2 linked regions of the Drosophila melanogaster genome follow. The protein of the gene in region 2 interacts with the protein of the main gene of each other region in a biochemical or structural test. Each region holds a gene or a part of one and is shown on either strand. Other genes may lie near its edges. The genes, in order: Pgant3 and Ten-m.

The links.
Region 1: of the proteins of Ten-m (region 2) and Pgant3, one has a biochemical effect on the other in vitro, tested with the Drosophila melanogaster proteins (one study listed by BioGRID).

Annotation. Positions count from the first base shown.
Region 1 is NT_033778.4:7,057,137-7,063,973, forward strand, and holds Pgant3 (polypeptide N-Acetylgalactosaminyltransferase 3), read right to left. Parts: upstream 4,597-6,837; 5' UTR 4,221-4,596; coding exon 4,087-4,220; intron 3,781-4,086; coding exon 3,680-3,780; intron 3,328-3,679; coding exon 3,147-3,327; intron 3,088-3,146; coding exon 2,921-3,087; intron 2,500-2,920; coding exon 1,241-2,499; intron 1,184-1,240; coding exon 1,022-1,183; 3' UTR 518-1,021; downstream 1-517. Other genes in the region: Tsp42Ep (tetraspanin 42Ep), read right to left, coding at 1-37, 107-280, 340-399; Tsp42Eq (tetraspanin 42Eq), read right to left, coding at 5,318-5,392, 5,448-5,645, 5,829-5,981, 6,059-6,232, 6,303-6,362. UniProt on the Drosophila melanogaster protein: Catalyzes the initial reaction in O-linked oligosaccharide biosynthesis, the transfer of an N-acetyl-D-galactosamine residue to a serine or threonine residue on the protein receptor.
Region 2 is NT_037436.4:22,404,709-22,409,952, forward strand, and holds the start of Ten-m (tenascin major), read right to left. Parts: upstream 3,156-5,244; 5' UTR 2,485-3,155; coding exon 2,184-2,484; intron 1-2,183. UniProt on the Drosophila melanogaster protein: Involved in neural development, regulating the establishment of proper connectivity within the nervous system. Acts as a homophilic and heterophilic synaptic cell adhesion molecule that drives synapse assembly.

The sequences.
Region 1 (6,837 bases), on a different chromosome or scaffold from region 2:
ACTCCGCTGCCAGAGCGATCAGTATGAACATGGTGAACTGTGGGGAGAGTTCAGTTAGTTATGGATAGTAATCCATATTCAGGATTCGCTCTTTCCTTTCGCTTACAATCAGATTGACACAAAGCAAGTTGGCGACCATGCCATAGCATCCGAACATCACGATCATGCAAATGGAGCCACCCAAGACCAAGCTCTTCACGAAATAAGTGTGCTCTGGCGTATTGGGCTCCGCCATCTGCAGTCCTAGTCCTGCTCCAGACATCACTCCTATGCCGAGTAGCTGCAACGCCAACGATTATAAACAATTTACCCAGAGTAAGTTGCAAGAGTACGACTTACCATATAGAGCAGATTTGAGAGCAGGCCCGTGTACTTTATTGTGTTATAGCAGCCGTTCATCGCGAGAGTGGTGTAATCTGCGGCAGATGCGCCAAATTTAAAGCGAGTGCATTGCGACCTTTCCCAGGGGCCAGCGATAAGAAGTCAGGGAAAGAGAAACAGATTGCAACGAAGCTTTCTCTACATTCGATTGCTTTATTCAAGTGATATAAAAATTAAGGTCGAGGTTAGTAAGTACAGCTAAAAATTTTCTAACTCTTCTTAATAAATATGACGTAGATATAGCATACCACTATGCTATCTAGATTGATAGAGTCGCAATGCGTGGGGGGAGAAAAGCTCTCCCACGCATTCGGTTAGTGTGTTTTAAAAACAATTCAAGTGGGTCTGTATCGGTGTACGATTGTTTGGTAAAGACTGGTTCCACTGTCACACATATGTTGCTGCTGCTCATGTTTACGCGCAGTTAAATATTAAATTGCGACAGTGAAATCAGGCTTTGTTAGACAACAGGACTGCAGGTGTCTGAAGTTCGTGTGCTTGTGGGTTGGTTACTGTTCACATAAACAAATTAACGAGTGAATTTCGTTAAAACAATTTCAATAAATATCACATTGCGTTAAAAAGTTGCTGGCAGGGTTATTGGATTAAATGTCCTGGCACCGGCATGACATCCTACTCTCTACATGCGCCATGGCAGTGGTATGAAGCCCCACTTCTGTGTGATGTCTTTGAAGTCGCATTCCATACTGAGCACAACCTTCTCGACCTTTTGGAGACGCGAGTTAGTCGCCGCTTTCAGAGTAAGGCAGAGCTTTGTGTCCCTATGAGATATTTGCTGAGTCTGTGGAGGAATACATTTTTAGCACTAATGCAATTATCGTAGCTGTGATACACTTACATCCATGTCGTAGGTCCACAACTGACTCGAGTCGGAAGCGCACTGCGCCAGCATTACATTCGAAGTGGTGGCGTTGCGGTTCTTTAGCATCTTGATCACACCCAGCTTTTGCTGTCGATAGGTCAGGCAGACGTTGTCGTTAGTCATGATCTGGCCCTTCGGAGTTATTACAAACATATCCATCGACTGGGCGTGAGATGTGCAATCGCCTACGGTTACTGCAGACAATGATGAGCGCGGCACATCCTCTTTGAGGGGGCGAAGGCACTTGTCCCGCTCCAGATCGATCAGCGCCATCAGCTCCTCCGCCTTGCTGTCGATTTCCTCGAACGCTCGCTTCCACTCTCGTGACAAAGCACGACCTGGTAGGTTCTTCATGTGCTTGCTGTAGGCCTGGGCACATTCTGTCTCCCCGTCCAGCCATATGATCTTGCCGAAAAAGCGGTCGGGAGCTGGAAAGAAGTGCTCTGGCCATATGTTCTCCAGATACCAGGAGAACGGTTTGCACTGGAGCCTCTCCCTGAGCGCCACACGCTCCGTAACATTCACCTTGTCCTTGGCTCCCAGCGTCAGTCCAGAGGTGTACAGCATTATAAAGTACTGCCAATCGTCCATCCAGACGGTGGCGGCCCTGGCCAAATTATCCGTGAGAACCTCGCTCATGCCGCCGGGGAAGGTGTAGGGCGTGCTGCTGCGGAACACGTGACCCACGTGCGAGCAGGGACTGATCTCCACACGACCGCCGCACTGCCAAATGCGGAAGGACATTTCCACATTCTCGCCGCCCCAAACGCGCATGTTGCTGTCGTAGGATCCCATTTCGTAAAAGTACTTGCGATCGATAGCAAACAATCCGCCGGCCATTCCGGGAGTGGCAATCGGGTCAGTGCTATCCTTGGAGCTGTTGCCCGCTGTCTGCCGCTTACGATCCGAGGAGAACCAACGGAAGCTCAGCTGCCAGTTGAAAGCGCCCCAGTGGTTCTCGAAGGTTTTTGTGTAGCTAAAGTTGTCATCGGATATTATGTCGATTACCGGGCAGATTACCACCTTGCGTGATTCCTTAATGCGGGAAAGAAGTGGTTCCAGCCATCCCCGCGAGCACTCGCAGTGGGCGTCGAGGAAGGTCAGCACATCGCCGCGAGCATTTTCGGCTCCCAAAAGGCGGGCAGGCACTAAGCCACTTCGCTTCTTCATGCGAAAGATCCTCGTGGGTACCGCCAGCACTTTCACATAGCTCTCCAGTTGACGTTTTAAATATGCTTTGGAAGAACATTTGATTAGGAAAGTTTTATATACAGATACGCATAATGTATGTCATTTATATGTAAATTCCAAGAGTTACGATTCTTTTATTACTTCGTAGTTTTAACTTTCTAGCATGTTAGACAAAGAATTTACTTTTAATGAATCAACGTAAACTTATACACTGACCGTTTTCAAGATAAGAAACAAATATTGTGAATCATCCCAAAACTATGTTTTACAAATTAAATATATTGCATTCTTAGGAGTTTCGTTTGGTGGAGTAGACTGAAACCATTCGCGGGAATAGTACGCAGGCAATAGAACCAAATGTCCTTTAGGTAATACAAAATTAAGAAGCTTCGCCCAAGGTCGACAATACTATTGCACACAGATGGAATTCTCGGAATATACGTTGATTATACTATGCAGACTTACAGCGATCGCTGGCATCGTCCACCAGGATAATTTCCTTAAGCAGGTGGCGCGGCGACCGGTTGATGACGCTGGTGATGGTTCGCAGGAGCACGGACCAGGCCTCGTTGTGGAAAACAATTATAACCGACGTGCTGGGTAGACCGCTGGCGTACTTCTTGTCGCGGCATCTGCGCAGGAGAAGAAATGCATTAGAAAAGGTTCTCAGTAAGCTAAGGCTTATACTTGCTCAGGTGTGCGGTAGTCCTTGAGGGTGCGGTTCAGTGGGATGCGGTCGCTGGCCAGCAGGTTGAAGCTGTTTAGCCGGAAAAAGCGCTGCATGCGAAAGCGATCGCGAGGCGGCACCACAACTGGTCGCCCATCGGCACCTTCTCCGTTGATGGGCTGGAACAGGTTGATGTTGTAATCATCTGCAAGCGAGTGGGGATTAATGCATTTTGATGTTGTGTCATTTGAGGGAAACTCTCTTTAGGTATTTTCCATCAACGATGGTGCAACTAAGGTTGTAGTTTCAAAACAAAGTTCGTCAGTTCTTCCCTAATGCGTCGAAAGTAAAATGATACTAAGGTAATTAAAGAAGTCTTAAATATTTCCCGAGCACCTAAACCAATTGTGCAGAGGGTAAAATGAAATGCCATTTAATGGCACTGTCTATTATTGATGACTAAGGGTAACTGGGAATGATAAAAGACAAATAAACTGTTTTATTACCCCAATGACCAATCTTAACTGATGATGATTAGGTGGAACCATCTCACTCACCTGCTGTCATGTTGCCAAAGATGTCTCCCTTGCCGATGTAGTGGGCCACGATGTTTTTGTGCGGCCAGAGGGAGCGGCGCTTGGGCGGCGGTTTCGGATGACTGTGCGGGAAATCGGCATAGTGATCCACAATAGCCAAATGAGCCAAGATGTGACAATGGAGCGATATTAAGACTTAGCATTTACAATGGCCCATCGAATCACGCGAAGCGATGTCAAAACAAACAGAGACCCAAGACCCAAATCGAATGCAAAGTGCCTCGGCAATCGAAGCTAAAAAACGCGGAGGCGAGGCACTCGACTGGAACACTTGCATTTTGCAACCCATTTGGGCCCCAGGGGAAGTTGTGCAATCCGAGCGGCGCGTCCTAATGGGCCCATTGTTAATTACCGGGCCAACTACTCACCGCATCTCCGCGTCCCCGCCCTGGATGCTGGCCACGTACAGGTTGATGCTGATGGCGAACATGAAGAACGCGAAGAAGAGCAGGAAAAGGTAGAGCAGCCAGAGCTTCTTCAGCTGCTGGAACCGGAGACCCATTGCTGTGGCTTATTGGCTACCAATACTGGAACTGCTTCTGGTCAAAACGGTGCGGAGTGAATGACCGGTGCGTTCGGTAGCTCTGTTTACTGCCAACTAATCAAGCCGCTGTTGTTGTCCAACTGTTTTAGTCACCAATCCAATCCAAACCGATCCGATCCGATCCGACGACTCTGCGGACGCTCGGCGAAGAAATGCGTCGCTTCTGCTCCGGGGCCGCTTTAAATTCGAATTGGCAGGTGCGCGGCAGGTGCTTATGAATACATGGCGCTTGTTCGGCTGTCACTAGTTACTCAGTAATTGTGCAAATACGGCCTAAACTTATCATTCTACTGCTTTCTCCAGCATTTCATTACTTTTGACAACAGTTCACGGAACCAGTAGTTCGAAACCAGAAGCGCTGTAAGTCTGGCTATTTTCCAGATGGATCAAGAGTTTGTTCGCCTCAATAAGGTGCTTCGGTATGGTAGGTAAAACATGTTTTAATTATATGCACATTATTTAAACGCTTAACATAGACTTGTTCTGCGATATTTTTCTTTGTGTACAAATGAAATGAGATGTGAGTCGTGTGTTTAATTTTAAAATATTTTAGCAGCACCGTAGCAGCACTTGTGAGCAAGCAGCTGTTTTCACTGGCTCGATAGCTGTGGTGAAAAAGAAATGTATCGGCGCGCATTGATATCGATTTTAAATCTTATGCAAATTTAAGTCTGTTAAGCAAATTTAACCTAACTGCAACTTGAAATATACTAAGCATTAAATTGTTTATTTTCTTAATAAGCTTCATAGACTTGTTAAATATATAATCATACTTTTCTTATACATAGTATTGCACATAAAAACAGCTTAGACCCAGACGTCGAAAGCGACACAACATTCCAAATGTACCACGAATCGGTTTAAGTGTGACTAATTTTATAAAAGTGCTTGCATACATTCTGAAATTTTGTATTGAGCAATTTAAATACGGTTGAAATATATTAACGTTACCAATTTAATGTATTCATGTTTTGGCAACTACTCCCTCATATAATTAGGAACACTTTCACATTCGTACAGTTCTAATACTTTTGGTAGAAACTTAAGGCCAGCTTTTATCGGTAAAGACGGCGGCGCTCGGCATTCTGTAAGGTTATAGCCAGGAGTCCGGCGATGATGACAGTGAGTATCTGAGGAGCATTTGGAATATGAGTTGAAGGATCGCAAGTGATCGGATTCAGTTACCTCCACACCCACAACGGACCAATCCGTGATCTTCTCCCAGCGAGTTCCCTTGACGAAGGCCGCTGCCAACTGATGGTTACACCCAACCGTATAGAGATCCGTAGTCACCGTGGCGTTCTGGTTGAAGTAGCAGCTTTGCGGAATCACCAGGCCACTATCCGGATAGTTTGCGGGCCCCGTCTGTCCGCAGCAGTGATACTAAAAGAAAAGCCGTTTAGTACTTGGTTAAACAAAGATAACAAGCTTGCGAAATGATTTCGATAAAATTTCAAAAAAAAAGCCAACTGATACCATTTTCCTAATGCCTTTTCCGAGAAAGTGAAAATGGAACTCATGTCTGCTATATATGGAGAAGGTTCCAAGGATCCCTACATAGCTCACCTTGATCTCAAAGTAGGACATTCTGTCCGAGTGGTAAAGTTGTCCCTGCCAGGCGTCGTAAATGGTCTCGTTGGCCAGCAGCTCATAGTTGATGGGTTGGGCCAAGATGACGGTGATCTGACTGAAAACCAGGGCCAGCAGTATTGCGGCATACTTTTGGGCGAAGCAAGACGGTCGAGTTAATATTGGAGGTCACCTGGCCACTAGGTACTAGATAGAGCGCTACTCACGATCCAGGTCATGCGAATACTCTCCCGCAGGGCAGCAATGCAGCCGAAGATCGTGCTGAAGAACAGCAGGCCGCCCAGGACGATGCCCAGGATGCTGGGCACCCGGATGGCTACGCTGTGGCTAAAAGCAATCAGGGCATAGGAGCAAGCCGCGATGGTCAGTGCCGCCAGAACCTATGAGTGATAGAGAGAGGAGGCATATAACAATATACTATCAGTTGGCGATTTGGTGATAACAACTCACACAGCACAGAAAGTCCAAAACGAAGGAGGACACCTTCAATGCCTTCGTGCCGCAGCTCATTTTGGTGGATTTTCAGGTGTCTTGATGTCGGTTTGGCCCACACTCGCACTCGCTATCGGAAATCAACTGAAAGGCAGCGCCCAACACCAAAAACCAAAAACCAAACAGCAAACGCCAAACGGCGCAGTCCAATGAGGCTTAGAGTTATCAAAAGCACCCGGCCTGTGGGCTGATAAGGCTCTCCGCAAAGAGCTGGGTTCCCATCCACTGGCGAGCGTTGTGACTAGGGTCGCTCCCTGCCTAATTGTTGTATTTGATGAGCACTTGAGCATGGAAATTCGCTCGATATTGGTTCACCTACCAAAACAGCGAGGGAATATCTATGGGCAGGGTGTGATTCAGGTGGACATATTTAGCATGCGACGTAAGAAAAATAAATGGGGGCGATCAATGGGTATTAAATGTACGTTCTCAAGGTATTACTTAGCTTATTCATATTCGAAGCGATTAATTAATAGTAGTGTTATCAGGCATT
Region 2 (5,244 bases):
ATTCCCAATCTGAATCGGAGTACGAATGCGATTTGGATTCCGATTCAGGGGTGACCTTGCGGAGCTTCCATTTTCGAAATTAGTTGCGTGTTTCTCGTCTTTTTTGCCATCAACTTGTGCATTATGACGGCGGGGCTTGTGATTGGATTTGGAGGCCATCTGGAGTTGGACTCGAACCTGGCTGCGGTTGGCTTTTAATAATGCAAAGTGGCCGATTTTTTCGACCTAATTTGGCTAATTGGCAGGCCGACAAATAAAGCATTGAGACATTGAAATTTCGGTGCTTCAGCTTCGAGCGGATTTTCACACATCAACACAGCTTCAAAGTGGGGGAGGCAAAGAATTTTCCGCTGCTTCTCCGTCTTTCCTGTTTTGGCTTTTTGGCAATTTTATGACAGGCACTGGGGAGCAGGAAGGCGGGAAAAGCTGCTGCCTGGTGAAGTGTTGAAAATTTACGAGCTCCGCCCCGCCCCAATCGCACCCCCCTGGCCCACTTTATTCAATTTCATTTCTTGCGCCAAAGCTGAAAAGAAATTCTGCAAAAGTCTTCGGGTCTCAGGAATTTATTGTTTGCCAGTTACGAAATTTATTTGTTGCTGTAAATTTACAATTCTTTCGCCGCTGCCAGGTAGCCCAACCCAAACACCCACACGTTCGTGTGCTCCAGGTTCGATTTCCATTTGATTTTTATTTCGTTTCAAAGCTCCAATTGTTTGGCAATTGTTTTTATAACACCACAAAAACGCTGAAAGGCAGGAGAAGAGCAAGCGCGGCTGCGGTGGGATGGCTTCGATGAGGATGAAGAAGATGAGGAGCGGAAAATGGGCACCGGAGCTCAAAAGGGAAATGCCAGAAATAAAGTTATGTAAGTCCGCATTATGTGTAAGTTCAAATGCCAAGAAGCAGAGTCGGAAATAATAAAACTGAAGCATGTCGGAGCATGTATTTGTGTTTAGGTTGCTCGTGGTCGAGGTCCAGGGATCGAAAATATTGGATAGGTCTGGGAGTGGCCATGAAGACGCTACGAGGAGGCTGGCTGAAATCGATAATAGCAGCGAACTAACATAATCTAGAGTTAAATACGTGAACTATTGTCATCAAAACAATAGTTAAAAGTAAAGAATCTAAAATTCTGTTCTCATATTAAGAGGGTATCCAAGTAACTACGATTTTCATTCAAAATCTATATCAACATAACTTAGTGCCCTGATTTCTGTCAGTGTACAATCAGGCAGGCTACTGTAACCCAACTCCTCTCAGAAGTCTCGAGCATTTTCCAGCCGCAGGCATTTTTTCACAGAGCGGGGACATCGTCTGGGATTCCCCCTAATTCCTGTCGGCTGACAGAGAGTATCCTTTTCAACTGCGCTTTGTGCGCTGGCTATTGTGGCTCTCGCTTTATTAATCAGACAAATCGTGAAAAAACGCGCTCAGTCGGAAAAAGGGAAATTATGAAATGCGAAACAAGAGCGGGCTCAATGTCAGGCGAAGTCCAAATCCCACTCCCATTGGGACTGCCGCCTTAATTTGTTTAATTTAGGCAAAATGTTTGGCCGCATTCGCCGATAAGGGGCGTAATTTGTTCAAACTTGTCGCAACTTGCTGGAATTCGCAACCCGCACGATTTTGTCACCGAAAAAAGGAATAATTTCTGTAACTAGCAGATGACACGGTAGCTCACTTGAATTGCGTTTGAGAAACATTGGAATCCTTTTGCACATACATAATTTGCTTTTAACTTTTTGACTAATACTAAAAATACACAAATGCCAAGTAGCAATGAATGGTTTTAGAACCAGTCTATCCTCTCTCAACGTACGTAGCTAATAACCAAATGTTCTCCATTTTCTTAAAATATTGATATCAATTAGCTCATTTGATTTAGGCACGTCTGTCAAAGAATTCGGTGATGTATACGAAAGCGATGGAAAACGGATCTCAGTATGTTTAAGCAGCATGGTACTCTTATCAGAAACGCTTTTATATTTTTCACTGATTTCCAAACATAATTTAAGTTACAAATTCATTTAATCCAATTTATGCATTGTAAAGTATTTCCGCACATCCTAAACTTTTTTAAATCACTTCCAGACGCTCTATTTGGGCCACTAAATTCCGGAGTTGTAGCTTTCGGTTTGATTCCACTGACCACACTGCCCACTGGGGTCGGCATACTCACTCACCTTGTCTTCCGTGTGTCCGCTGCGCTGTGTTGTTGGCCGTGTCCGGCGGACGGTGGGCCAAGTGCTGGTACTCGTAGTCGTAGTGGGACGACTGGGCGGCGGCTTGGGCGGCCTGCAGGTTCTGTTGGTTTTGGTGCTGGAGCGTCTGGCTGCCGTGGACCGGACCGAGGTCCGTCGTCGGCCGCCCGTGGCCGCTCATGGGGAGCGTACGTCCTTGGGCGTGTGGGTGGGCGTGAGCCGGAGTGGGGCCGCCGCCCACGTCGCGGCAGTCTAGAGTCGACTCATACTCGTAGGGATTCATGGCGGTCGCCTCCAGCGGACATTCGTCGTCGTCCGTGTCCGTGCCGCCGTCGTAGATGTTGTCCGTGTGGCGGTACGCGTGATGGGCGTGCTGCTTTGAGAACTTAATCTTGGCGGCTTGGGGGCTTTTGGCCAGACAGCCGGACAGGAGAAGAAGAAGAGGAGGAGGACTCCGCACGGGAGCAGGAAGAAGAGACTTGGTATGCGTTTGGCTACTCGCGATTATTCATGCACTTGCTGATGCGGATGCGGCTGCGGATGGCACTGGACGCACTGCACTCAAAAACATTTCTACTGGGCCATTTCCAGACGGTTAATCTGCGGGCGGGCTGCTGGTCCCAGCTCAATCACAATCTGCCGCCGAGGCCGCAATAATATTTCTTGGGCCTTTTCAGTAGTCGTACACTGAAAACACGGGACACACACGATGGGGAGCACAGGAACGCGACGGGAAAAACGGTGTTTTTGAATTGACGCGGTGTGTTTGTTTGCGCGACGATCGTAAAACTATGTCAGAATTCGTTAGACGCAGGTATCATTCGCTGCCTGATTCCCGACGATTTTCTATATTTTTCGACTGAAGCAACGCGCTGTTTTCGCTACTTTTCGTATATCCACATTTTCCGCGACGACAATTCCGACCGTGCGAGGCGAATTTCAAAAGACGAATGAGCTCAAAACGAACGACGAACCGAGTCTGTGGGAGAGAGAGAGAGAGCTAGAGAGCGCAAGTCGCTGCAAATATGAGAGAAAAACAATATGCTTCATATTCTCTCTTTTTCAGTTAAAATGCGTCGCTCTCTCATTTATTCTGATACTGCGCATGATTTGTGAGAGAGAGAGCGGTCGCGCACCAGCGTTGTCCATTTAGCTAATTTGCTGATAGTCTGGCCTTAGCTGGAAATATAGCTATTTTGCTAGAATAATAGGTGCTACTTATGTAGTTTAGGTTAATTTAATTGCAAAAGAATCACTCCGAATCATATAGATTTCCAGTCTATGACAGCGTTATAGAAAAAGATATGCAAGGAAATATAATAATATACTTTTAATACTCTTGTGCTTCTGTTAAGTTACCATCAATATTTGTTCTCAATGGTATGTTTAGCCTTTTTATAACCAGAAGAGTATGCAGCACTCAAATGAGAGCACTCATCGAATCTCTGGTTTGAAGGTTAAAAAGTGCGTTTCGTTTGGCTAAGGGGAAATGGATGTACAGCGGATTCGAATCTATCGTGCTGCACGCCAGTTTCGTTAAGATTATCTGAGGCGGCCAACAGCGCTGTAATAACAGCTTCACCGGCGGCTAACACCGACACTGTTAATTTTATTACAAAACTGTTAACCGGTTTACATAAAAGTGCGTATACGTATACCATATACCATATACCATAAAATATCAATGTAAATGTGGAGGTATTTAAGTTATTAGGTACAAACTTTAAAAGATAGCTTAGTTTATTCTTTATTATATATATTATATATTATATAATATATATTATTTATTATTATATATATATTATATATTCTCTTTATATATTGCCCTAAAATATCTAGGTTTTCCAAAACCTCCGAAAACTTTTAACTTTCAGCTTGCATTGAATAAATTGCAGGTTACACAAAAATATTAAAAACTACATTTTTAAAAACAATGGAATTTGTATTTCAAGGTATCTGAACCTCCTGTGGCCTGGGAATTACACAAAACAGTTTTTCATTTACTAATTATGCTGTCAGATTCTGTGGAGCATTTTCACGCAGCCAAAAAATATCCTCAGACTTCATTAGCGCTAGAAAAGTTAGTCAGTGGCGGCGAGGGGAGGCGAAAAAGTTTCAAATCGCTGACAAGTGAAGTTGTCATTCAGCACCCAAGCCAGAACCGAGCGGACCTGGCCAAAAAGTGTCCGAAACAAACAATGGTGGCCAGCGTGGGGTGGGTAGGTGATGAGGGGGCCATGGCCGAGAAAAGAAGCAGAAAATTGCGTTATAAGCAAAGTAAAGGACATTTCGCTAATGGCTTAACTTTTGAACGCAGGTCTCATCCTGCCGCCTCCACCGACCGCCCCCTAGCCCGTCGTGCAGGCAATTCTCTGCCATGTAGCGGAAGTTGTTGCTGAAGCTTTTTTGACAGCTTTCCCAGCACGAGAAGGATACGGCGGGGAAGAAGAAGAGATGCCGGAGAAATTGTCATTTCTTTTCCGAGTCTCGCAATGTGGCAACGCCGCGTGACGCAAATTTTTTTGTAGTCTGAAAGTATTTGCATAGGATATGGAGTCTTGCTTTCCCGATTTTCTTTGCTGTCGATGAAAAATCAATTTCCTGTTGTATGCAAAAATGTTTGAGCATCATTCAAGAAAGGGAGAGAAGCGTTGCTCGCCTGCACTTGACACATTGAATATTATCAGGAGGATGTGGATTCCGAGGGGGAATGTGACTTCTGATTTGGCTAGTTGTCGTAGGTTTCGATCTGAGTCTTCGTACAGGAACAAACATTCTTGGCTTGTTGTGCATATATTTAATTAAGGGGCAATGGATTAAACCTTTGCAGTTTTTTGAAGTTGAACCATTTGGGTTAACATTCAAAAATAACTCAAAAATGGCTTAATTCATTGGCTGTGTCTACCTTTTTATACCTTTTTTTTAATTATACTAGCTTGTAACTATTATAAGCAGCATCTACGATTCCCCAAAGAACAGCGAATTTCAACAGTAGAATGTGATAGTTTTTTGGTGGCTTAAGCAGCGTTGAGGGACTTCACAA